2 linked regions of the Rattus norvegicus genome follow. The protein of the gene in region 1 purifies or fractionates together with the protein of each later gene. This does not show direct contact. Links are inferred from orthologs where the notes say so. Each region holds a gene or a part of one and is shown in the gene's direction. Other genes may lie near its edges.

Region 1 (11,718 bases):
TGTTATTGTATAAAAATAATTTAGTTGTCTGCAGACACTGGTGGCACGCATATTTAATCTCAACACTCAGGAGACAGAGGTAGGCAGATCTCTGGAGGTTGGAGGCCATCCTTGTCTACGGAGAAAGTTTCAGGACAGTCAGTGCTACACAGTGACCAGGGCATGTAACCCAAATAAATCCCTTCTTCCCCAGGTTTCTTTGGTTGATCATAGCAACAGAGAGTGAACTAGGACAATGGTGAATTACACTGAATGAATGGTCTTTCAAATATGGCAGCTTCCCTAAGGTACTTGCCACTTGGTTACTATATATAAAACTCTTTCTAGATATACATACCTGGGTCCTTTTTCCTAATATCTTGTTAATGATTTTTTTGTACATTTATTCCTAACTATATGGATCTGCAGTTGCTTTTATATACTATTATTTTTTAGCTTGGGTATCAGAATAATAACAGTTTCACAGAGTTAATTGGAAACTTTTCATTTTCTAGACAAGATTCTATAGGAGAGACTAATCTTGATCACCTGTCTGCACCTACCAAGTGCTGGGATTACAGGCATGACTTATTATGAATAACTCTGTGTGTTTTAATATTTGTTTTTTAAGTTGTTTTAGTAGTAGTAGTAGTAGTAGTAGTAGTAGTAGTAGTAGTAGTAGTAGTAGTAGTTTTTTGAGACAGGGTTGCTCTGTAGTCTTTGCTGTTCTAGAACTCGATCTGTAGACCAGGCTGGCCTTGAACTCACAGGGATCTGCCTGCCTCTGCCTCCTGAGTGCTAAGATTAAAGGCATGCGCCACTATGCCCAGCACCTGACTGAGTGTTAAGAATTGTAATTTGAATTGATCCTTGTGTGAATCATATATAGAAGGCATTTTATAAATAGAGAAGTTAAGACTCTGAGAAATTAACTTGAAATCCACAGAGAAATTATGATGTATACATCTTCCTGTCCCAGGTTTGGTATGGCCCCTACATCCCATAGCTCCTGTGTCTTCCTAGGCAGACTTCTCTTGACATTTGGAATCTCCTTGGAAACAGAGAAGAGAATGAATTCACCTGTCTAGGAGGCTGCCAAACTCTTCCTTGCCCAACATTCCATTCAAGTTAGAGAAAAACGAGGTGCATAGAGAAAGACTGGGTGTCAAATCCAATACTTTTTACAGAAGATGGCACTTAATACAGAGCCCCACAACTAGTCAAACCACAGAGAATAAGGAACTGTGGATACCTCGACCCTTAATAAGACATCTGTATCACACCTCCTTCCCAGAAAGCCTCTGGGATCATTTCAGAAGAGGGAGTAGAAAGCTTCTAAGACCCACAGGTTGGAAACACTGTGTGAAACTATTTTCCAGACACACAAGCCCCATGCACACATAACCAATGAAGAGAGTGGTTAGAGTCATCCCCATCCTCACATCCCTCCAGCACCCATTGTGGACTTTACGCTCCGTAAGCAATTCCTAAATTGGGCCGAGCTGCAAGACCTCAGTAACTCTTCTGGTCGAGCTGCTTCGACTCAGTTAATGTTGGGATATTCCTTTTGGAAACCGTTTCTCTTCAAGGTACGGGACTTGAAAGCAAAGGGAAGGAGTCCTTGATCTTGGCTGAGAGAAAAGAGTGACAACTACTAAGACTATAGTAGGTGCTCCCTGGAGACTATGAATGCGGTCTGACGATCAGTGTGGGCAGCTCAAGGTCTCTTGGAGAAGGACACTCTATAGGAGTGAAAGTGGGCCCTGGAAGCTTCGTGAGCTTTCTGTGTGAGAGAGCATTTACTGCGTACTTATTGCTCAAGAGACAAGTCGCCCCACTGGGTGTCTTTGGCATGGGTGTCATCTTATAGCACACTGGGACCCACATAATGATTTGAAGGCAATGTCCACATTGTTTGGCCTACATGCAGCTCAGTGTGAATCATCTTTGGTCCATTTTGGCTCTCATACGATATGTTGACCTCATGCCCACTCTGGCTGTGCACTTTGAGAAATCCATAAAACAGGGGAGGAGCTGAGAGGATTCCCAGCTTTGAACTGGACGCATAGTGAAGTGTTCCGAAGGCGAGTCCAGGGGGCAAGAGGGTGCTGGTTGGACCAGACATGTTGGGCATGAGAAAGAACTGGGCTCCTAATGAAATACATGGATAAGAAAAGAGTAAACAAACTCTCGTTGGATAAAAGGCAGAGTAAGGAAGAGTGGCTCACGGCAGCTGATGGTCAGTGACAGCCAAGGGCCAGATGGATCTGATTCTGAGAAAGGCAGGAGCGAAGGGCCCAGAGATGGAAGGAGGGCTGTGAAACACTCATTCAAATATCAAAATAAAACCTAGCAGATGAAGTGATAGTGTTTGTTTAGAAAGCAAAGTTAGGGGAGGAGAGTAGGCATAATGGTTAAAAAAAAAGAGAAGAAACGAAAAGAAAAGAAAAGAAAAGAAAAGAAAAGAAAAAAGCTGGTTGTTCTTGCTGAGGACAAGAGTTCAGTTCCTAGCATCCATGACAGGCCACTCTCAAATACCTGTAACTCCAGATTAGGGGGACCTGATGCCCTTCTTTGGGGGCAACTGTACCCATGTGCACATCTACACATGCACAGACACATGTCTGTGCACACAACACACACACACACACACACACACACACACACACACACACACACACACACACTGTAGTAGTTTAAATGAGAAATGTTCCCAATAGTGCCGGGTATTTGAACACTCGGTCCCTGTTTGATGGCACTGTTTTGTGAGGGGCTAAGGAATCTGTAGGACAGGGAGCGCTGCTGGAGAAAGCAGTCACTGGGGGCTGGCGTTGCGAGTTTGCCCCACTTCCAGTTCACTATGGTTCTGTGTGGACATGTGAGCTCTAAGCTCCCTGTCCTCGCTACCATGCATACCGGCTGCCATGCCATCTCTACCATGGAGGACTGTGGCCTTCTGAGATTAAAAGCCAAAACAAACTCTTTTCTTTTTTTCTTTTTTCTTTTCTTTCTTTTTTTTTTTTTTTTTTCGGAGCTGGGGACCGAACCCAGGGCCTTGCGGTTGCTAGGCAAGCGCTCTACCTCTAAGCCAAATCCCCAACCCCCAAAACAAACTCTTTTATAACTTAGTTTTAGTCATGACAAAGTTTTTGTCACAGTAATTAGGGAAGCACTGGCTATTCTTCCAGAACACCTGGGTTCAATTCCCAGCACCCACATGGCAGCTCACAACTATAACTTCAGTTGCTTGGGATCCAGCACCCTCACACAGATCCACATACAGGCAAAACACCAATGCACATGAAATGAAAAATAAATCGTTCTTCTTTTTTTTTTTTTTTTTTTTTTTTGGTTCTTTTTTTCGGAGCTGGGGACCGAACCCAGGGCCTTGCGCTTCCTAGGTAAGCGCTCTACCACTGAGCTAAATCCCCAGCCCCAAATAAATCGTTCTTTAAAAAGTAAAATCAACCTTAAGTAAATGGATACCAGAGTGATGTACCCATTAGAATGACTAAATGTGCAAACCCAATAGAATCAAAAGTTAGCAGGAATGTGGAACAGCCATTGTTCTTATTGACTGCCGGTGGTAGGGATGCAAAACGGTACAGCCAGCACGGAAGAAAAAGACAGTTGCTTCCAGCACTAAATATATTCTCCCCATATGATCCAATGAGCTGATTCCTACATATTTACCTGAAGGCACACTGTACCAACACCCACAGGATTATAGCTTTGTCTATAATCACCAAAAAAGCTGGGAGTAATGACAATGTTTCTCAGTGGGTAGATGGACAAGCAAACTGAGAATCAGCTAGATGATGGAATATTATTCATTAATGAAGAAAAATAAACTATTTGACCGTGGTAAGTGTCTTCATTTGGTTTACTACCGTAATGATGAAACACCTGGACCAAAGCAACCCAGGAGGAAAGGGTCAGTTGGGCTTAGACTTCCATATTACTGTTCGACACCAAAGGAAGTCAGGACAACAACTCAAACAAGGCAGGAACACGAAAGCAGGAGCTGATGCAGAGGCCATAGAGGATGCTGCTTACTGGCCTGCTCCTCATGGCTTGCTCAGCTTGCTTTCCTATAGAATCCAAGACCACCAGCCCAGGGATGGCACCACCTACAATGGGCTGGGACCTCCTACATCCTACAGGCTTGCCTACCGTCTGATCTTACGGAGACATCCTCTTGATAGAGGTTCCCTCCTTCCAGATGACTTTCGCTTGTGTCAAGTTGACATAAAACTAGCCGGCACAGTAAGACATGAAGACCTTAAATGCATAGTGCTTAATGGAAGGACCCGAAGAGACTAGATGGTGTGTATCACTCTGACTACCTCGCAGTAAGCAATTTCAAACAAAATGGGTTGGGGATTTAGCTCAGTGGTAGAGCACTTGCCTAGCAAGCGCAAGGCCCTGGGTTCAGTCCCCAGCTCCGAAATAAAGAAAAGAAAAAAAAAAAAAAAAAAGGAAAAAAAAAAACAAAAAAAACCCCAGCGTGGTTGGCAGAGGTCAGGGTGAGAAGGGATGAATAGGTGTGGCACTATATGTGGGGCGTGTGGGAGTGACCTAGCGGAGGGAAAAGTGGGATGGAGAGCTAAGCACCATGCCTCCTGCTCCTGCGCCTGCTCCTGGGCCTGCGGGAGGAATCCTAATCCAGCTGCACTCCAGCTGCACACAGCCTTATCTAAAGCGGCTCCTGGCAGAACCCGCAAACCGATGAGACAGAACAATGGACCAGAGCCCAGGGCTGTAGCAGTTTCCACTTCCTGTCTTCACAGAAATCCCCCTCCTCCCACCTCCGGGCGATCCATTCTCTCCCCTACAGAATTCCCTATAGAGCAAATTAGATCCAACAGGACATCGGATGTAATCTCCCCTACCTTTGCCCCTTGGTTATGTAACCTCAACTCTTATTGGCTGAAGAGTTGTATGTAAGTTTTTGTACGGCTAGATTTGTACTCCTATGCTAGTCTCCCGAGTCTGTGGGAGTCTCCCGAGTCTCTGTTTCTCCCTATTTCCCAGTCCCGGTTCTGACAGCTATAGACTTTAGGCAGTGAAATAACACTCTGTGTGGTGCTTCATGATAAATGTGTGTCTCATACTTATCAACACATGGAATTCTAGAGCACAGGATTAATCTTAATGCAGACCAAGCACAATAGCTAATCAACTGGCACAAACATTCTGCACAAGGGAAGGTCATCGCTGGGGAACCTGTGTGGGAGAGAAGGAAAAGGAGCTGAGCTAAATTATAGGCGAAATATTTCCATTTACTCCAAATTTTTTTCTAAAATGGTATTAAAAAGTAGTGAATTCATTTTTTTTTTACAAAAAGCTTTGACATTGAAGGGATAAAAGAAGCAACTGTGGCAGGAATAATTTTTTAATACACAGAGAGCCACCAAGGTCATGAAAACTTAATTGTAAAATCTACAACCAGTCTTGCTGCCCAACTCCTCCTTCACTCTGGGATTCTCCCACCGCAGAGTTCCCACCTCAGGGTGCCAGCATGGCTCAGTTGGTGAAGTGTTTGCCTCTGGCTGGAGGACCTGACTTTGATTCTTAGCACTCACTCACAAAGGCAGGCTTGGGGATGAAGAGGTGTCTCAGAAGTGAAGAGCATTGGCAACTTCCGCAAAGGTTCCAGCACCCAAATGGCATCTAACAACCAGATCCAGGGGGTCTGAAGCCCTCTTCTGGCCCGAGGGCACCAGGCACGTACTTGGTGTGCATACATGCATACATATATGCAAGCAGAGCTCTCATTAAAATCCATGGCAGAGTCACACATGGTGACACATACCTAAGCTCTCAGTGGGTAGAGACAGTTGGACTTTGTGAGTTCGAAGACAGCCTGTGAAAGACCCTCGCTCTAGTCTCGGAATGGCGTGCCCCAGGAAACACGAGAGACCGGTCTTGATGTAAAAGCAAGAGGCCGTTTAATAATAACGAAGCTTCGGGCCGACATGTATCTCACGCAGGAGACAGGGGAGTCGATCCCGAAACTTAAAAGTTGGGGGTTTATATAGGGAAAGCTAGGGCGTTTTGGCGGGGTTACACACGATTGGCTCATTCAAACATAGCAGTGAGAACAAAGAGAAAGAGTACGTGCTAGAAGTCAGGGGCTTATCAGGGTCTGGAGGACACCTAGTTAAAGCATGGCCCTGAGTGAGCTGGGGGAGGTGTCTTCCTGCCAGGTGTTCTATGAATCAGTCCTGGTAACTCGGGCTGGTTCCTGCATTCCTTTTCTTATTCTTTATGGCCTGCTAGTCCTGCCTGGACAGTGTTTAGCCCTGAGTCTGTGGATTTTGAAGCTTACTTTTTTAATTTTTTCCTTTCACCTGGTCTACAAAGCGAGTTGCAGAACAGATAGGACTGTATGCAGAGAATTCCTGGGTCAAAAAACAAAACAAAAAACAACAAAAGCATAATGTCAAGGATCTGTAACCCCTGTACTTTGGGGAGCAGAGGGGTTCACTGGCCAGGCTAGTTTGGACAGTTAATGACCACCAGGTTCAGGAGAGAAGTTGTCTCAAAAATAAAGCAAAGGGGGCTAGAATGTTGGCTTGGAGATTTAATGAGCACTGTACCCCCAGAGCGGCACCTGCGTTCACTTCCCAACATCTACATGTGGCTCACAAGCACCTATTGCTCCAGCGCCAAGGGATCTGATGCCCTCGTCTGGACTTTCTCAGACATCTACACACACTTGGGTGTGAGTGTGCATGCACACAATCAAAAAGTAAATATTTTTGTAAAAGTAAGGCAGAAAGACAATGAGGAAATCCATTTTGGCCTCCACAAGAGTACATTAACCCATACACCAAAAAAAAAAAAAAATGAAAGAATTGAAAATAAACAACACAGTAGAGTTTGTTCAATGGGCTCCCTTGGAAATAAAACAGGACTAGACTCTTAAAGCTCCCCTAGTTCATTAGTTTTTCTCATGGAAGGGAACCCGGCCTTGCCTGGTCAATTTGGAAAAGCAAATGATGCTCTCAAGGAGGCTTTTGTTTGGCCAGGCATTTTCTCAAGCAACTGTAATCTTGCTAAGTACCAGGCTGATTGTTAATTCTCCACGATTATGTACAGGGCCCTTTAAATTTGTTTTCCTGTTTCTTCCTTCTTGATAATTAGATGAGGCAATCAGAGCATCTTTCATATTCTAAGGAGACTTCACTTTTCTGTTAGGGGATGGTTCCTCTCCAGAATTTCTGCAAGAGACAACAGGCAACAGGAGTGAATTCTAATCCCAAGCTTGAACACCTCTTAATGAGGTGACTGTTTTAAACCCCTCCAGCTGCGTGGTTCCTCCAACACAGACCCCCTACCCCTACCCCCGACACTGGGTTAAGCCCCATGAATTCTCAATCCTTTCATTTCTGGGGCTAAGGTCCACCTCCCTAACCTTTCAGTCACCAATATTTGCTTCGAGGTTGACACCTTCTATTTAAATAGCAAGCACCAAACCTTGGCGGGTTCAGTGCCGAACAGATTGATTTCAATTATCACCTTTAATCCACACCTTTCCTCTCTTGTAATGTGCAGTTTTCTTCTCTTAATTAGAAAGAGCCAGGGATTATCTGCACAAGACTGGAAGATTTATTGTGATTGGTGGTATTGTCTCTCCAGTCCACGACTCCTATGGAAAACAGGTGGGTCCCTTCCTTTGCCCTCTCTTCTTCCTCACCTGATAGCTCCCCTGGATAAAACTGCCCTACTGTCCTCTCTGAGGAAATTCCTGGAAATGCTAAATGCCTAACTAACAGCATTTGGTTTCCCTCCCAGGACCACTGTCAGACGTGGGTATCTGGCTACAACCAGAGGGCCAGCTGCCCACCATAGCCAGCCAGCTGCTCACAAAGAGGAGTGAGCCTGCTCAGTGCAACTGTGCTGGGTTCCAGACTGGCAGCAGTTTAGAAGTTGAGCTGCATTGGAAAAATATTTTCCAAGATTTTTATTTTGGAAAAAAAGCATCCCAATGCCTCTTATGTGGGAACTCTCCCAGCCATTCCTGTTTCTCCCACAGTTACTGTAATCACCAGACTAGGTTTAACCTAGGTCAAACCTATGCAGAATGGCCAAGTGGGCATTGGCTGGTTCGGACCCAGATGCAGTGGGATACACCACATACCTTTCACACACACACACACACACACACACACACACACACACGCACACACACACACAGCATCACCCAGTGTCTGTGTATCAGGGGTACATTCCTCATTTGCTCTCACCATCAAACATGGCCACACTTTGTAATGGGGTGGTTTGGGCTGGTGTTCCTCGGCACTGTGGAAGGCTGAGGACACCTCCTACTCATGGTTTTGTTGCTTCCTAGGGTCTTGTGTCAAGTCGGCACCGTCTCATCATGTGTCAGCTGGCTGTCCAAAATTCTGACTGGATCAGGTAGGGCTGGAATGATGATGTAAGAGCCAGGTGGCCCTGGGCTCACCGGCAAGGAAAAGGAATTTGGGACCTATAAGGGTGAGAGAATAGGAGAGGTATTAGCCCTGTACTGACTCTAATTAGGTAGATCTCCACTGGAAGCCCAACTGTTAACTTTATTTTTGAACCAAACAATCAGGCTCACAAAATTTAAGAGTTAGCCTAAGGAGTTTCTGTCTGTGACTCCTGGGATGTGGCTCTTAGAGTTTCCCAAAACATCACTGGGGGAGGAGCCTGGTCCCCAAACCCCAAATGCCTCTCATTCACCAAATTCCCACTAAATTCCATTGACTCACCCATCACTCCTTGTCAGAGAAAGTGGGTGGCCTTGAGTACCACCCATTTCTGAATTCAGGGTCCCTCCGGGGTCCACACTGACCCCTAGACAAGGTGTGGGGCCTATGAGCAGGGCTCTCTAGGGCATCCCTACCACTGGAACCTGAAGCTCTTTTCTTGATTCTCCACCCTGCCCCCCATTAGACTCACAGAACCACTAAGATGGCAGCATTCACCATGCTCTGAGCCAGCAGTGTAATTACAGCAAGCTTCCACTAATTATGCTAATTATGTCCCCCAAGTTCCTACCGTTATAATTTGCATGAGAAGATGGTGTTTAAAAAAATAATGGCACATCATTTGCTCTTTAATTTCCTATGCTGGAAAAATAAGCAGCACCTAGAAGTTTCCATGAGGAGAGGGGTACAGACCTCAGGGTGCGTGAGGGATGCAGTTAACCCAGGAGGGATGGTCAGGCAGAACTGCAGGCAGTGAACGGAAGCCGCAGTAATAATTAAGGTCTGTGTGGACCTGCACATGATTTGTAGAGAAGCCTGACCCTTGAGGGACTTTCTTTCCGGTTGAGGACTGGAAAGTTGGCTCAGAGCACTCGCTGTTCTTCCAGAGGTCATGAGTTCAGTTCTCAGCACTCACCTTGGGCAGCTTACTTACTGCCTGTAATTCCAGCACTCAGGGATCTCACATAGATAAATAAAAATAAATCTTAAAAAAAAAACCAAAAAGACAGATTAAACGCTGGAGGACAGCCTATCTGTAATCAAGTCAGGAATAGAAACCATACCTCTTAATGCTGTAAATGAATGTTTAATTCCCTGTGGGAAATAAATCCAGGGGGAGGGGGAAACTGGCTAGAAGGCTGTTCCTGCTTTGACATTCTTAGAAAATTCTGGAATCATTCCTTGGTTGATCCCGTGAATGCTTACTGAGCACTACCACCTGTCTCACTGAGGTGACAAAGGGGTCTGAGGGTGAGCCCTTGGGAGGGAAGTTTTTAGCTAGCCCTTACCCAGGGCAGGTGGGAGGGGCTTGCTCACCTCCTATACTTGTGTACACAGGGACAGGGCAGGAGGAGCCAGGCAAGACAGACCCCTTTATTTTTACTTAGTAAGATCTCAACTCAGGAAACCTGAGGTGCCTGCTCATGGCAGGGGGTGGACAGGGATGCTCAACCGCTAAGAGAATGTTCTGAAATATCTCCGTTTAGCAGCTCATTAAGTTGGCAATTGAGGCCATGTGAGGAGGCATCAGTCTGAGGCAGGATCCCTGCTCACTTCCCAGCCTCCTGTTCTTGAGAAGTTAGCTGTCCTGAGGGCCTGCACCATCCAGTTTAGCTTGTCATGCCTTACTTCCAGCCTCAAGGCAATATACCACTGATGAGGTTCTTCTCCAGGGCTTGCAGCCTGGCGAGGCAAGCTTCAGTCCTTACCAGCCCCTGGCTCCCTTAATCCTTCTCACAATCCTGTAAGAGTCTGAAGATTTCCTTCTTCTATAGGAGACATCTTACTAAGCACTATGAATATAAAATTCACCTAGCCCTCACACTAGAAAGACTGCTGAGCTCAGGTTAAGCTCAAGTTAAACTCAGGGAGACTCGTACTACTCTCTTCCTTACCTGCCTATGCAAGATTCCTCTCATTTTACAGAGAGGGAAACTGAGGCTCAGGAACATATTCCACAGCCTGGTTTAACCTGCTTTGAGATCTAAGGACACAGCATGACCAGGCTTGCTAAGTTCCCTGAGCCTTGGGAGGAAGCAAGGTGGAAAGAGTGCATGAATGGAAACTGAGGACATCTTCTCTTGTCATGGCAGGGTGGACCCATGGGAGTGCTACCAGGACACCTGGCAGACAACCTGCAGTGTGTTAGAGCACCATCGAGACCTCATGAAGGTAAGGTGGGCCATGGCTGAGGGTGCATGGATGAGCAGGGTGCAGGAGAAGGGCTGATGCCTGTTGATTTGTTGGATGGCATCTGCCATCTGCTTCCCTCCCAGTTGTGAGGTAGACCAGCCTGTGTATGAAGCTAGAGAAGACAGTGAATTAGAGCCCTAGAGCATGTCGACCTTGCTGCCTACCTTCTACTCTGGCACAGCCTCCTGGTATGACAGGATGCTGTTGGGGCTGGATTTGGCATGGGCAGCTATCATCAGCTGGAGAAGCAAACTCTAGGTGGAATGAAGAAGACTAGGGTTGTAAGGGTTGGCGGTGAGGAGAAGACAGGGCAGGGGAATGTACCTCAGTTACTAGAATGCTAGCTTAGCATTGTGATACCCTAGATTTGATCCTTAGTACCAGATAAATTCTGGAAGTGGGGATTTGTACCCCTATATAGGAAGGTAGAGACTGGAGAATCATAAATTCAATGTCATTAGCCTAGGCTAAGAAACATTGTCCTCTTACCCTTTACACGTTGCAAGGTTCCCTCCCCATCTATTAGGACCCACGAATTCCCAGTCCAAGATAAGACGCCGTGTCCAAATGCTCCTTCATTCCCATGCATCCCTCCATCTAAGAACCTCATGGATGACAGTGTCAGGTCTGCTTTATTATCAGGTAACAAAAAGCAGAGAGAGGAGGCTATGTACCCGAGGACACGCAGTGGACCTAGGACAGAGGAGAGCTCCTGAGTTCCTTCCCCACTACAGTCTAGAACTTTCAGTGACCTAGGGCTGGCTGTGTACCAGCAGCCCCAGCCACAATATGGGTACAGTGCCCTCCATAGATCAATATCAGCCCGTGACCTGACCGACAGGCTGACAGACACAGCAGACTGCCCTTTGTGGTCATCTCCACACACTGTGTGGAGCATCTCCAGCCGTACGTTACCCAAAGGGGTCATTCTGATCCAAGGAGAGCTGTATCCCACTCCTCTCCTTGCCATTGGAGGGGCTGTCACCACCTTCTCTTCAATTAGCACCTCCTGGCTGCCCCGCCCTGCACCAACCCCACAACTGGGCTTCATTCTGCTCTGAGATTAGGG
Region 2 (11,589 bases), on another chromosome or scaffold:
AGCCTGGTGTGGTGTATGACTTTAGTCCCAGTACTTGGAGGCAGAGAGACAAGTAGATATCTCTGAATTTGAGGACAGTCTGGTTTACAAAGTTGGTTCCAGAACAGCCAGGGCAACACAGAGAACAAATACACCCAGAGCAATTCTGTATTGAATGATTTTGTATATAGAATTTTTACAGAAGCACTACACATGTTTTTCAGGGGAATTCTTTATTATTTGGTGAGAGTCCCAGCACACAGGACATGTATTGGCTCCACTGCCGTGGCCTTCAATCTTATGGGTGATACTGATTTGTTGGTGTCGTAGTATGTTGTTGTTTTTTAGATAGGATCTATTACATAGCTCTGGCTGTCATCCTATAACTTGCTATGTAGCTCTTGCTGGCCTTGAACTCACAGAGAGATGCCTGCTTTTGCCTCCCAGGAGCTGGGATTAAAGGAGGCCAGCACACTTCAAGTGTAGATAATACTTTGAATACCTCATATAACAGAGAAAAGCATGGGTTTCAGAGACAGACATTGAAGTCTAATTATAGTCAGGTGGCTCACTTATAATAATTATTGACAAGGAACAACAGGAGACTAGAGAGAAGGCTTGGCAGTTAAGCACACTGTTTGCTCTTCCAGAGGACCCTGATTCAAATCTCAGCATCCACACGGTAGCTTGCAGCTGTCTGTAACTCTAGTTCTAGGGTATTCAATGCCTAGTTCTGGCCTCTACAGGTACCAGGCACACAAGCAGTGCACAGACAAACATGCAGGCAGCACATCCATACACGTAAAATGAAATTACTTTTAAAGGGAACAGTAGTTAGGAGGGCATGATGGAATGAAGACTAGTTTGTGCAAAGCACCCAAAGTCCTAAGCACTCGATTCCAGTGATGAGATTTTTCTCTTGCAGGAGGAAGGCCAGCTCACCAGTTCAAGCTACCTAAGAACTCTCATGTTACTCCAAGATCTGCTCCTGTGAAAACAGAACGTTAAACCCCACCAGCTTTCCCTATACAGTGTGCTTTATACCCCCATGCCTTTCCTCTGAAGTCAGGCTAATTTGTGATGTTGTTTCCAAAGTCTAGTACTGCATACAGTGTTTTGCTTCTGATCACTCACACGCATTTCAATCACCTCAAATTTTAAGTAAAAAGAGACCATGCAACCCCCCCACCCCCCTTTTAAACTATTTAAGTTTCTAGAGAATGTGTAGAACAACTCTGCCTTCAGCATCTCACCCCCACCCCTTTTTTGTTAAGCTGACCTAAAACTACTTCTTTGTTTAAAGCAAGTTTTAGAACTGGATATTTGAATCCTAAGGTCTTAGAATGTCTTTAAGGATGGACAAAGGAAGACCAAAGGCTAATGAATAAAATATGGTGTCAGGCTAGCACTCAAGCTAGGAGAAGTAAGCTGCGATCCACAACTGAGTAAGAAGTGTTAGAGTAAAAAAAAAAAAAAAAAAGTGTTAGAGTAGAAAACACCCGATCAACACTTGACTCAAGGGCTGGGATAGAGGTTAGTGGGAGAGCACATGTGTGGCATGTACAGGTCCTAAGCTCAATTTCCATAGCTGCCAAGGAGACCAAGCCGAACATACTTGATTTTCTTAGCAAATTCTGCTCGGAAAGTACCCAAGTGCTCTTTGCATAAACATCACCTGCATATCCAAGCCGCATGACACCAGGCTCTGAGGCCTCTGAGGTCGAAAAGCCACAGAGGAACAAATGTTGGAATGTCTCTTCAGGGATCTGGTAACTTTCTTCTTTTCCAAGTCGAGGATTTTGATTGCCCCAGAGTCATCAGCAGAAGCCAGCAGACTTTCAGTTTCATTTAATGAAAGACAATTGATTTCTTCCTCATTCACATGAAAGTGGTCCAGGCACCCTTTGAGAGACCTGACATCTAGTACACTGATGGACTCTCCATGGGAGGCATAGAGCTTGGTGGGGCAGGAAGCGGAAAACACGATGCTGGTAACATCATCTGCCCCTTCCAACTGCATGTGTCCTACAGGGGTCCCATCTTCACCCCAAGCCACAAGGTCTCCACCTTCTCCTCCTGAAGCCACCAGCCCGTCTTTACTTGCATTCAGGCAAAGGATTGAAGAAGAATGTCCTCCAGTCCACTTGACTGCCATGATGGCCTGCAAAATTCTGGGAAGAGGGAGAAAACCTATATCAGATTTTGTATAAGAACTCGATACTATGAGACAAATATAATTACCAACATTTCAACAGTTTTTAAAGATTGCTTAAAAATTCAACAACCCTTGCCCTCTCCTCTCAAAAGACATTTAAGGACTAAATCTACAAATCTCTAGTTAAATATAAGACTGCTTCTCTAGTACACATCTACAGGAAACCCAAATACACGCCGACTAGCAGGAATAAACTATTAGGTTTTCTCCTAATCTTACTTATCCTTGTTTTTGGTTTTGTTTGTTTGTTATTGTTGTTGTTTTAAAGGGATTAACTCTATTTTAAAGGTACTTTGGGCTAACTTCTATCCTACAGAAAACATGAGAAGTTAGGCAATGAGCAGGCTGTATAGTTAAAAGGACTATTACAGACACATACAGTTCTGATAATTTTTTCCATAAAGGTCTAGTAGTAAGTCTTCTTTTAAAAAAAGATTTTATTTATTTTATGTATGTGAGTAGACTAGCTATCTTCAAATACATCAGAAGAGGGCCTCGGATTCCATTACAGATGGTTGGTGGGAATTAACTTAAGACCTCTGGAAGAACAGTAAGTGCTCTTAGCCACTGAGCCATCTCTCCAGCCCTAGTACTAAGTCTTACTACATCAATCTTTTAAGATCCAAGAACAGTACAGGTCTACACATGAGAAGGGAGGTATTACATTTCCATACACTAAATGAATCACGTGAATATTTATTGATCACTTACATAGTCAGAAAAATAACAAACAACTATCAGTGAGTCTATTTAAAAAAAAAAAAAGAGTTCAGAAAGCCTCAAAAAACTCATTTGGGGGGTTGGGGATTTAGCTCAGTGGTAGAGCGCTTGCCTAGCAAGCACAAGGCCCTGGGTTCAGTCCCCAGCTCCGAAAAAAAAAGAAAAAAGAAAAAAAAAAAACTCATTTGGAGCCACAGAGATGGTTCAGTGCTTAAGAGAACTTTACTAGCTGCTATTTGAAAGGATCACCTTGGTTCCCAGTACCCACATGGCAGTTCACAACCAACAAATAACTCCAGTCCCAGGAGATCCAGTGCTTTCTTTGGACCTCTGAGGGTACCGGGTATCAAATGTGTTAAACACATGCACACCTGTAATCCTAGCACTTAGGAGGCTGAGGCAGGAAGATATTGAGTTCTGGGCCACTGTGGGCTACATACTGAGACCCTCAAAGGAAAAAATGGTGTGTGTGTGTGTGTGTGTGTGTGTGTGTGTGTGTGTGTGTGTGTGTGTGTGAAACAGAGTGCTATGACAGAGTAGGGGAAAGTTATTTAAATATATGTTAAGTCAAAACAATTTAGAAATGAAGTGTTTGCAAGCTGCTGTTGTTGACTTTGTACACTTGAAGCAGACAGCCTTGTAGAAATGTGTCCATGCCAAAATTACTTCCCTCACCTATCGAGTTCCTAAGCACTGTGAGGTCACCTAAAGCACAGAATTACTCATATCCTACCATGATTAGTTTAATTAGATAATAGATTCATTTCCTCCAACTCCTAATTTGATGAGGGAATGCGTAAGAGCAAAGTAGGGCATGTTAAAGGAATCTTTTAAAAGGGTAAAATGCCACAGGGGGCAGTTCCGAGCAGGTAGAATGGATAAAGTCCTGGGGGAGGTGGGGAGGGGAGGTTCATGAAGAGCAGGTGAAGGACCTGTAACAAGAAGGGAGTGATGAAGGCCATCTTCTTACACTTTGAAACCATCCTGGCTCTAGTTGTGTGACGACATGCCACTAGAGTCATATGAACAACTGGGGTAAAGACACAACAGAATGAAGCTGGGCAGTGGGGCATGCCTTTTAATACTAGCACAAAGGCGGCTGTGAATCCAAGGCTAGTCTGGTCTACATATCAAGGTCCAGATTATTTAGGGCTATACAGAAAAATCCAGTCTTAAAAAACAAGCACCACCCCCCCCCCAAAAAAAAAAACAAAAGAGAGCAGAATGATACCATTGGATACTTCAAAGATTCGTCTTAAGACAAGATAAAGTATTTGATAAGTGGATGATCTCTGCCATCAGTGTTTTTTCAGTCATACCTTTATTTATGAATTTCCACTATCCATTTGTACAAGCCTGAAATAGATAGATAGATGACAGAGAGAAATAAAGAAAGAGAGAGAGAGGGAGGGAGGGAGAGAGAGAGAGAGAGAGAGAGAGAGAGAGAGAGAAAGAGAGAGAGAAAGAAAGACCGTCTGAATCTGTCTCACCTAGGGTCCCCAAGTAACTAGAGTCTATACTCTCAGTACTATGGTGCTTTGCCCATGCCTTTCAATCTAACCATTCTATGTATGTAGTTCTTTACTTTCTTTTCAGATCCACAAAATTTAAAGGAAAAGCAATTGTCATTCAGACAAAATTTGGTTCAACATTCAGGAGCCATGAAGAGAGAGGCCATTACTATAATGTGTGGGTCAACATTTCTTCATAGATTTGGACTAAAGTTAGTCCTGATGTGGAGAAACTAAGTGACAACCAAAACAACTCAAAGACTGTGACATTAGCCTAGACACAATAGACAAAAATTTGGGTTACTTGGTGGAAGACACCTTGAGGAAGGGATTAGCAAGGCATAAGCATGTAATTATACCCCAGTAGGGAAGCAGTTGTTGTTCATTTGTTTTTACTAAAAATCAGGAAGTGGATTGCACATAGGTGGATCTCAGGCAAGGTTTCTTGCTACAAAAAATTGCACAATACTGGACTTGACTACTGAGCCTGTGGGCCCTATTACAATAATCACTTCATAGTCTTGAGAATTATAAAAGTCAGATTAAAAGATCTCATCAATGCCTGGCTCACACTGTAGTTCTTTTGTTTTATGTGTATGGCGTGTGTATGCGTACACCTCGGTCATTCGTGAAGCTGGAAGGCTTGGCTCCCCTTGAACTGAAGTTCAAATAATGCTAGGTTCTTTTCCTCCCACTGTTGGGATTACAAATTACAAAACAAAAAACAAAAAACTACACATATTTCCTTAATCTTTTTACTATGAGATGAACCGAATTCACTATATTTTGTCCAAAAGACTGTGACACTTGGTATTCAAATGACCCTTTGAAATTACCCAAACTTGTTTAATATCAAATATAATAAAAACCTGCGTATTTACGACGGTTGCTCAGATTTAGCCACCTTACTTTTAGAATGGATACTGTATAGATGTTCTGTTGAGTCCCCTACTGTCCTAGCCAGGAAAAGACGATGTCAATTTCTCAAGGTAAAAAATAAAGTAAAATGGATCTAACCTGACCACGACAAGAGGTCTCCAACTGCCCAAAGGTAAAGTTAATGGATCCAAGCGAACTGAAGATGAAGGATCTAAGAACTGGCTAGCAAACTTTGTCGTAAACAAAGTTGGAGAATGAGCAGAAAGCAAATGAAACGGGAAACTCCGTAGGAAGAGAGGCCAAGGAAAGCCGACTCAAGGCCATTAGAGGAAAAACAGAAAAACGCACTTGAGAACAGATCAGAATCCCACTAGCCAACAGCCTCATACCTGGGCTTCCAGTTCCCGGTGGCGCGTAGTGATGACCTCAGGCGCAGCATCCAATCCCATCAAGCTTAGGGAGCGAGGCGCCTCCACCGAACAGTCACTTCCGGGCTGAGAGGCGCGGCGGCCGAGCTGGGCGTGCGCCCTTGCTTCTTGCCCTCAACCCGCATGGCGGATCCCGGGGCGCGTCGCGGGCAGGCAGGGCGAGGCGGGTGGTTCCGGCGCCCGCGCTGAGCGGCTACGAGGGGCGGGGACCCGAGTGGCCCGCGCCATCTGCCCTCAGTGAGGCGGGGCGCGCAGCGGACGCCCCCGGGCAGGGGCGGGAGCGGTGGAGGCGCGAGCGGCTGTCGCTGAAAGGGGCGGTGAGCGAGCTGCTCCGGTCTCTAGGCGAGGCTTGGCCTCCCGCGCCGAGACGGGGCGCAGCGACGGCAGCGGCGGCCCTCGGGCCGGCTGGTGAGGCGATGGCGGCGCCGGGCCCGGGGGCTGGGGCAGCCTCGGGCGGCGCTAGCGGCGGCGCCGGCGCCAGCGGCGGCGCCGGCGCCAGCGCCGGCGCGGGATCCGCGTCCTCCGGGATCGGCGGCCGGTTGCCCAGCCGGGTGCTGGAGTTGGTGTTCTCCTACCTGGAGCTGTCCGAGCTGCGGAGCTGCGCCCTGGTGTGCAAGCACTGGTACCGCTGCCTCCACGGCGATGAGAACAGCGAGGTGTGGCGGAGCCTGTGCGCCCGCAGCCTAGCAGAAGAGGCTCTGCGCACGGACATCCTCTGCAACCTGCCCAGCTACAAGGCCAAGGTGAGGGAATCCCGGGCCATGTCGAAGCCCAGTTCCTCTCCTGCCCGGTGTTCTTGGGGTTTACCTTGAAAGCTTGAGTTAGAGGTTTCATCTCACCATCCCGTCTTTCTACGGCTTAAGCCAGTCAGTACCACCCCTCCTTTCCATAACGATCTTTTCTTTGGATTGAAGTTGTGCTTCGTAATCCACCTCACTTTTAAAAATACTAGGTGGTTTCCCATCATTCATTTTCCTCAGCTCTACTTTCAACAGTTTTTGCTCTTAAAGACCAGCCGATACCCTTGATCATATATTTTCCCTGGCCTCCAAGTAGAATGGCACTAATGCATTCGAGGTCGCTTTAAAATGGGTTTAGTTGCTGGGGCTTTTGCGTTCACCATCCCCTTTCTTGGCTCTGATTAATAAGCACGTTTTCATTATTTTCACCCATGTTCTCTTAGGGCCACAATATTTAACGCTTCCAAGTGATGATCAGGGTAGGCATCCTGCTAACTAACTTGTAAGAAAGAGACTTTAATATTACTTCCTCTCATTGGTGCGGTATAACTCATCAAACTGCCTTGTCCTGCTGTTATTGATAACTTTTCTTAGTTCTACTGGGGTGATGTCTCTTTTGTCATGTAATATGTTTATTCCTGTTTTGCTGGGCTTTTGTTGTTGTCGTTCTTGATTCTTGTGCTTTCATAACAAAATTAAAATGCTAACAAACAGGTCGTGGCAGGACCAAGTATTCTCCAGCATACAAACAAAAGGCCTTGGACTAAGGTTCATGTAGGTAGATAGTAGCTCTTCAGGATAGCAGTCATCAAAAGCATATGAAGCTGGATGTGGTGGCGCACACCTTTAATCCCAGCACTCCAGAGGCAGAGGCAGAGGCAGGTGCACCTCTGTGAGTTAGGGCCAGCTTGGTCTGCCAAGTGAGTTCCAGGACAGCCAGGGCTACATAAAATGAGAGACTGTCCAAAACAAGGAGCATATACGAGAGATGATAGACGTCTGACCAGGAATGTAGTAAATATATCTTTTCTTTTTTAATTCTATATTGCCAGTGAGTGTCTAAGTAATTTTTAATGTGAAATAGGTGCACTCTTTCTTTTAATATACATGTATTATTATAAATATGTGTATACACATATTTTATGTCTGTTTTTGGAGACAGGGTCTCACTGTGTGTCCGGGTGGTCTCCAACTTGCCATCTTTCTGTCTGTTCCTTGAGAGTGCTGGGATTATAGGATGGGCCACAGTACTGATATATTCTTATATATTAAGACGAGTTTTCGTCTGATGAGAGAAGGAACACTGCTGTCAATTATGTCAACTACCAAATAAATTGTCTGTCTGTCTGTCTGTCTTTCTTTTTTTCTTTCTTCCTTTCTTTCTTTTTTTCTTTCTTTATTTATCTGAGACAGGATTTCAGTATTCAGCCTCGGCTGGCTTGGAAGTTAACAGAAATCCACCTGCCTCTTGTCTTCAAAGTTCTGAGTCTAAAAGTGCCACCACTCCTGCCACCGTCCCCATCATATTTTTGTACTTATTTTTTCTTTGACACAAGTACACATACTCATGCATATGTGAAGAATACCAGTGCCCACAGAATCTAGAATGTCTACTGCTGTAGCTGGAGTTACAGACATGTGACCTCCCTCTGCAACACACACACACACACAGGAAAATCAGGGGGCACTCTTTTTTTTAATTTTAAAAGATTTTATTTATTTTATGTATGTGCTCTCTAAATAAATAAAAAGGTTTTATTAATTTAGTATGTGCACACTAGAAGTGTGCATCAGATCTCATTACAGATGGTTGTGAACCACCATGTGGTTGCTGGGAATTGAACTCAGAACCTTTGGAAGAGCAGTCAGTGCTCTTAACCACTGAGCCATCTCTTCAGTCCCCGGGGCACTCTTAACTGCAGACTAAATTGATACTGATTTTGGTTTTTCCGGAGAGATTATAGTTTTAAGTTTCTAATCTTCATTATCTTTCTGCTGCGTGCACTGCGGCTCCAAGGTGGGCTTGTCTTACCCAGGTTCTTGTAGGTGACAATTGTGAAAATGCAGTGTTAATTCAGGAGGACTCAGTGTAGAAGTCCTTAGACAGGGAAATAACTAACATGTGGCACACATTGCTACCTAGTGTAGTATAGGAATACTAGCAGTCCGTGGGGAGGAAGAACTTAGGAGCTGAGTGGAGAAAAAGTTTGAGATTAAGATGCCACAAAGCTGAACTTTAAGATGAGGTTTATGATGTTAAATTTTATGAAAAACTCTGAGCAGAAAAACAAGGAAAGCAAAAATGCAAACTCTTACCCACACTTTGCCTTGTGGGGATTACAGTGTAGTAGAGTGCGTGTGCGTGTTCATGTGCCTGCGCCTGCCTACAAGCCTTCCTGCCTTCCTGCCTGCCTCCCTGCCTGCGTTTCTTTTTTCAGTACTGGGGATTGAATATGTGCTAGCTGCATCCCCCAGCCTGGGGGAATAGCTATTAATCTGATCACTGCCGTTGTGAAACTGCATCTGGTAAGTATTATGAGTGAGAGTCACATCTGTTCTGAGTGTCAGTAATGGAGGATTTAACTAGGTACGGAGGTCAGGAAGAGACTTTCTTATAAGACATGATGCACAAGCTTAGTGACACCTAAAAGATAAGTATAGAGGCCAAGAGGAGCAAGAAGAGCCTCTGAGGAGGGACTCTGCTTGTATGAGAAACAAGGTGACTGCCAGTGGTTGCTCTGAGAGTGCAGGTGACGCTGGTTTGAGTAAGATAAAAGGAGTGGGACACACTACACTGAAGCCTTTCTAGTTGTAAGCAAGAACAATGGCCGTGGGGAGTGGTGCCATGATCAGTTTGTGGGTTAGTTTTGACTCCACTATGGAGAACAGGTTGGAATACGATTTTAGAAATGTGGTAGATCCACTAGAAAGAGGGTAGTGAAGGAGATGGGGGAAAATGGACAAACTTAGGAAATAGAGTAACAGAATTTGATGACTGTTCCTCCTATTGCCTTTAGATGTGGCACTAGGATTTTAGGTCATCATAAATTAAAATTGATTTTTTTCACTCAGAGAATATTAAGATACTGGGATTATCTATGTACTCTCTGAAATTTGCGGGATCAAACAGTTTTGTTTTTTTTGTTGTTGTTTTTTTAAAGAATCTGTAGAATGTGGCAGTAGTTTTGAAATAAAGACGAGGAAGAAGGAAGAGCTAAGGATGACTCCTAGATATTTGGCTTATATAATCTAAGTATCACTTGAGCAAGAGTTTGGAGGAAAATGACAGCAAGTTCAGTTGTGGAAGGTCAGAATTCATAGTGTCTTTGAGATATTCGTCAGATTTCAGATAGGCAGCTCCTGATAGCCAAGGGTTAGAAGCAGTCTAGGCTAAAGATAGGAATTTCTAGTTGGACTGAATGAAGGGAAATACTGCTGTAAAGGTGACTGGGGACTGGCTGTATCGTGGAAGAGGGCCTTTGGAAACAATCTGTTATGTATTGTTTGGGCTTTATTCTGCACCTGGAAAACCATACAAGTCTGAACAGAAGAACAGTGAAGTAAAGCTGGGCTTTAAAAGACCAGGCCATGGGATACAGAGGAGAGAAAGACACAACTGGAGGAGTGCCACAGAGAACGACTCTGCATGGTGACAGTAGACCAACAGCTTGTTGAGGGAAGGTGCATCCAGCAGAACTCCCAAGGCAGCTGAGCAAATGCGAGGAGAGTACAACACTGGGAAGTGTTTGGTTGGTTCATTTTGTTCTCCTTCCTTTCTATCCCTACCTTTTAAAAGACTTGTTTATTTATGTTATGTATGAGTACATTGTTGCTCTGAGGGCATCAAATCCTAGATGGTTGTGAGCCACCATGTGGTTGCTGGGATTTGAACTCAGGACCTTTGGAAGAAGCTGTCAGTGTCCTTAACCACTGAGCCACCTCTCCAGCCCCCGTCCTTCTGTCTTATCTCCTTCTTCCATGCTGCTCAAACTAGGGCATGCTTAGCACTCACTGTGCCATTGAACATTCCAGAAATGTTCTTTTTTATAACTCACGCTTTACTTATTTCCAAGTAGTATTTAGTCATCCCAAATATTTTGTATCAAAGTATACCCTAACTTTCAGACTTACATTCTGAGCTAGACCTTTTTCATTTTTGTTTTTAGAAGTGGAATTAGAGACAGCTTGTTGAGAAAGGGCAGGCCCTCTGCAGAAGAAGGGTGAGCTAAGAGCTGGGGAAAGTGTGCACTCAGAAGCCCTGGGCTAGGTCCTCATGCTGTTGAAATAGGAAACCTCCGTTTTTCAGAAAGAGACAGAAACTATGACTTTAATTTTTTGTATTGTTTTTAAAAATAGAGTTTGTTTCTCTGTGTAGCCCTGGCTGTCCTGGAACTTGCTCCATAAACCAGGCTAACCTCAAACTCAAAAGATCCACCTTCCTCTGCCTCAGTGCTGGGATTAAAGGTAGGTATACTTGGCCTTTAAAATTTATTAATTGGGTATTTTTCATTTCATTTGAATTTTTCAGTATTTGTTCTAAGAACAAAGATCCATAATATAATCACAATGCTACTGTCATCTCCAAAATGAAACTAACAGTAATTCCTTAATTCAGAAGTTGCAGTATTGTCTCATAAATGTGAAATATATAGTTTAACTTATGGCTTATCTAATCAGGATCTGTATATGTCCTTCGAGAAGGAGTCGTGATGGGGCTGGGGATTTAGCTCAGTGGTAGAGTGCTTACCTAGGAAGCCCAAGGCCCTGGGTTCGGTCCCCAGCTCCGGGGGGAAAAAAAAAAAAAAGAACCGAGAAGGAGTCGTGAGGTCTGTTAAGGCTATCTTAGTAAACAGACTGATTCTGTCTCCCGCCTCTGCAGCTCATTTGTCACCATCTACCTTCCTTAATGTTACCCAGCATGCTCTTCTCCGTCCCTTCCTATAGACTCTACAGTGCAAAGCATGACCAGTTTAGATTACAGTACATTTCTGTTTGTTTGTTTGGTTTGTTGGTTGGTTGGTTAGTGGTGGTTTTTACAAAATACTTTTTACTAAAGTCATGTGTTTAGAGGTATGGTAGAAAACAAGATCCTAAGTGTGACGTTAGTGAATGGAGTT

What was found.
Region 2: the proteins of Nmnat2 (region 1) and Fbxo45 purify together in Homo sapiens (co-immunoprecipitation; 3 studies listed by BioGRID and IntAct, with this or other methods). This does not show direct contact. The link is inferred for Rattus norvegicus from reciprocal best matches to the Homo sapiens genes NMNAT2 and FBXO45.

Annotation. Positions count from the first base shown.
Region 1 is NC_086031.1:67,785,228-67,796,945, forward strand, and holds the start of Nmnat2 (nicotinamide/nicotinic acid mononucleotide adenylyltransferase 2), read left to right. Parts: upstream 1-6,149; coding exon 6,150-6,222; intron 6,223-7,557; coding exon 7,558-7,646; intron 7,647-8,335; coding exon 8,336-8,403; intron 8,404-10,549; coding exon 10,550-10,628; intron 10,629-11,718.
Region 2 is NC_086029.1:82,050,343-82,061,931, forward strand, and holds the start of Fbxo45 (F-box/SPRY domain-containing protein 1), read left to right. Parts: upstream 1-6,114; 5' UTR 6,115-6,148; coding exon 6,149-6,475; intron 6,476-9,461; exon of another isoform or gene 9,462-9,604; intron 9,605-11,589. Other genes in the region: Wdr53 (WD repeat-containing protein 53), read right to left, coding at 1,655-2,134. UniProt on the Homo sapiens protein: Component of E3 ubiquitin ligase complex consisting of FBXO45, MYCBP2 and SKP1. Functions in substrate recognition but also plays an important role in assembly of the complex.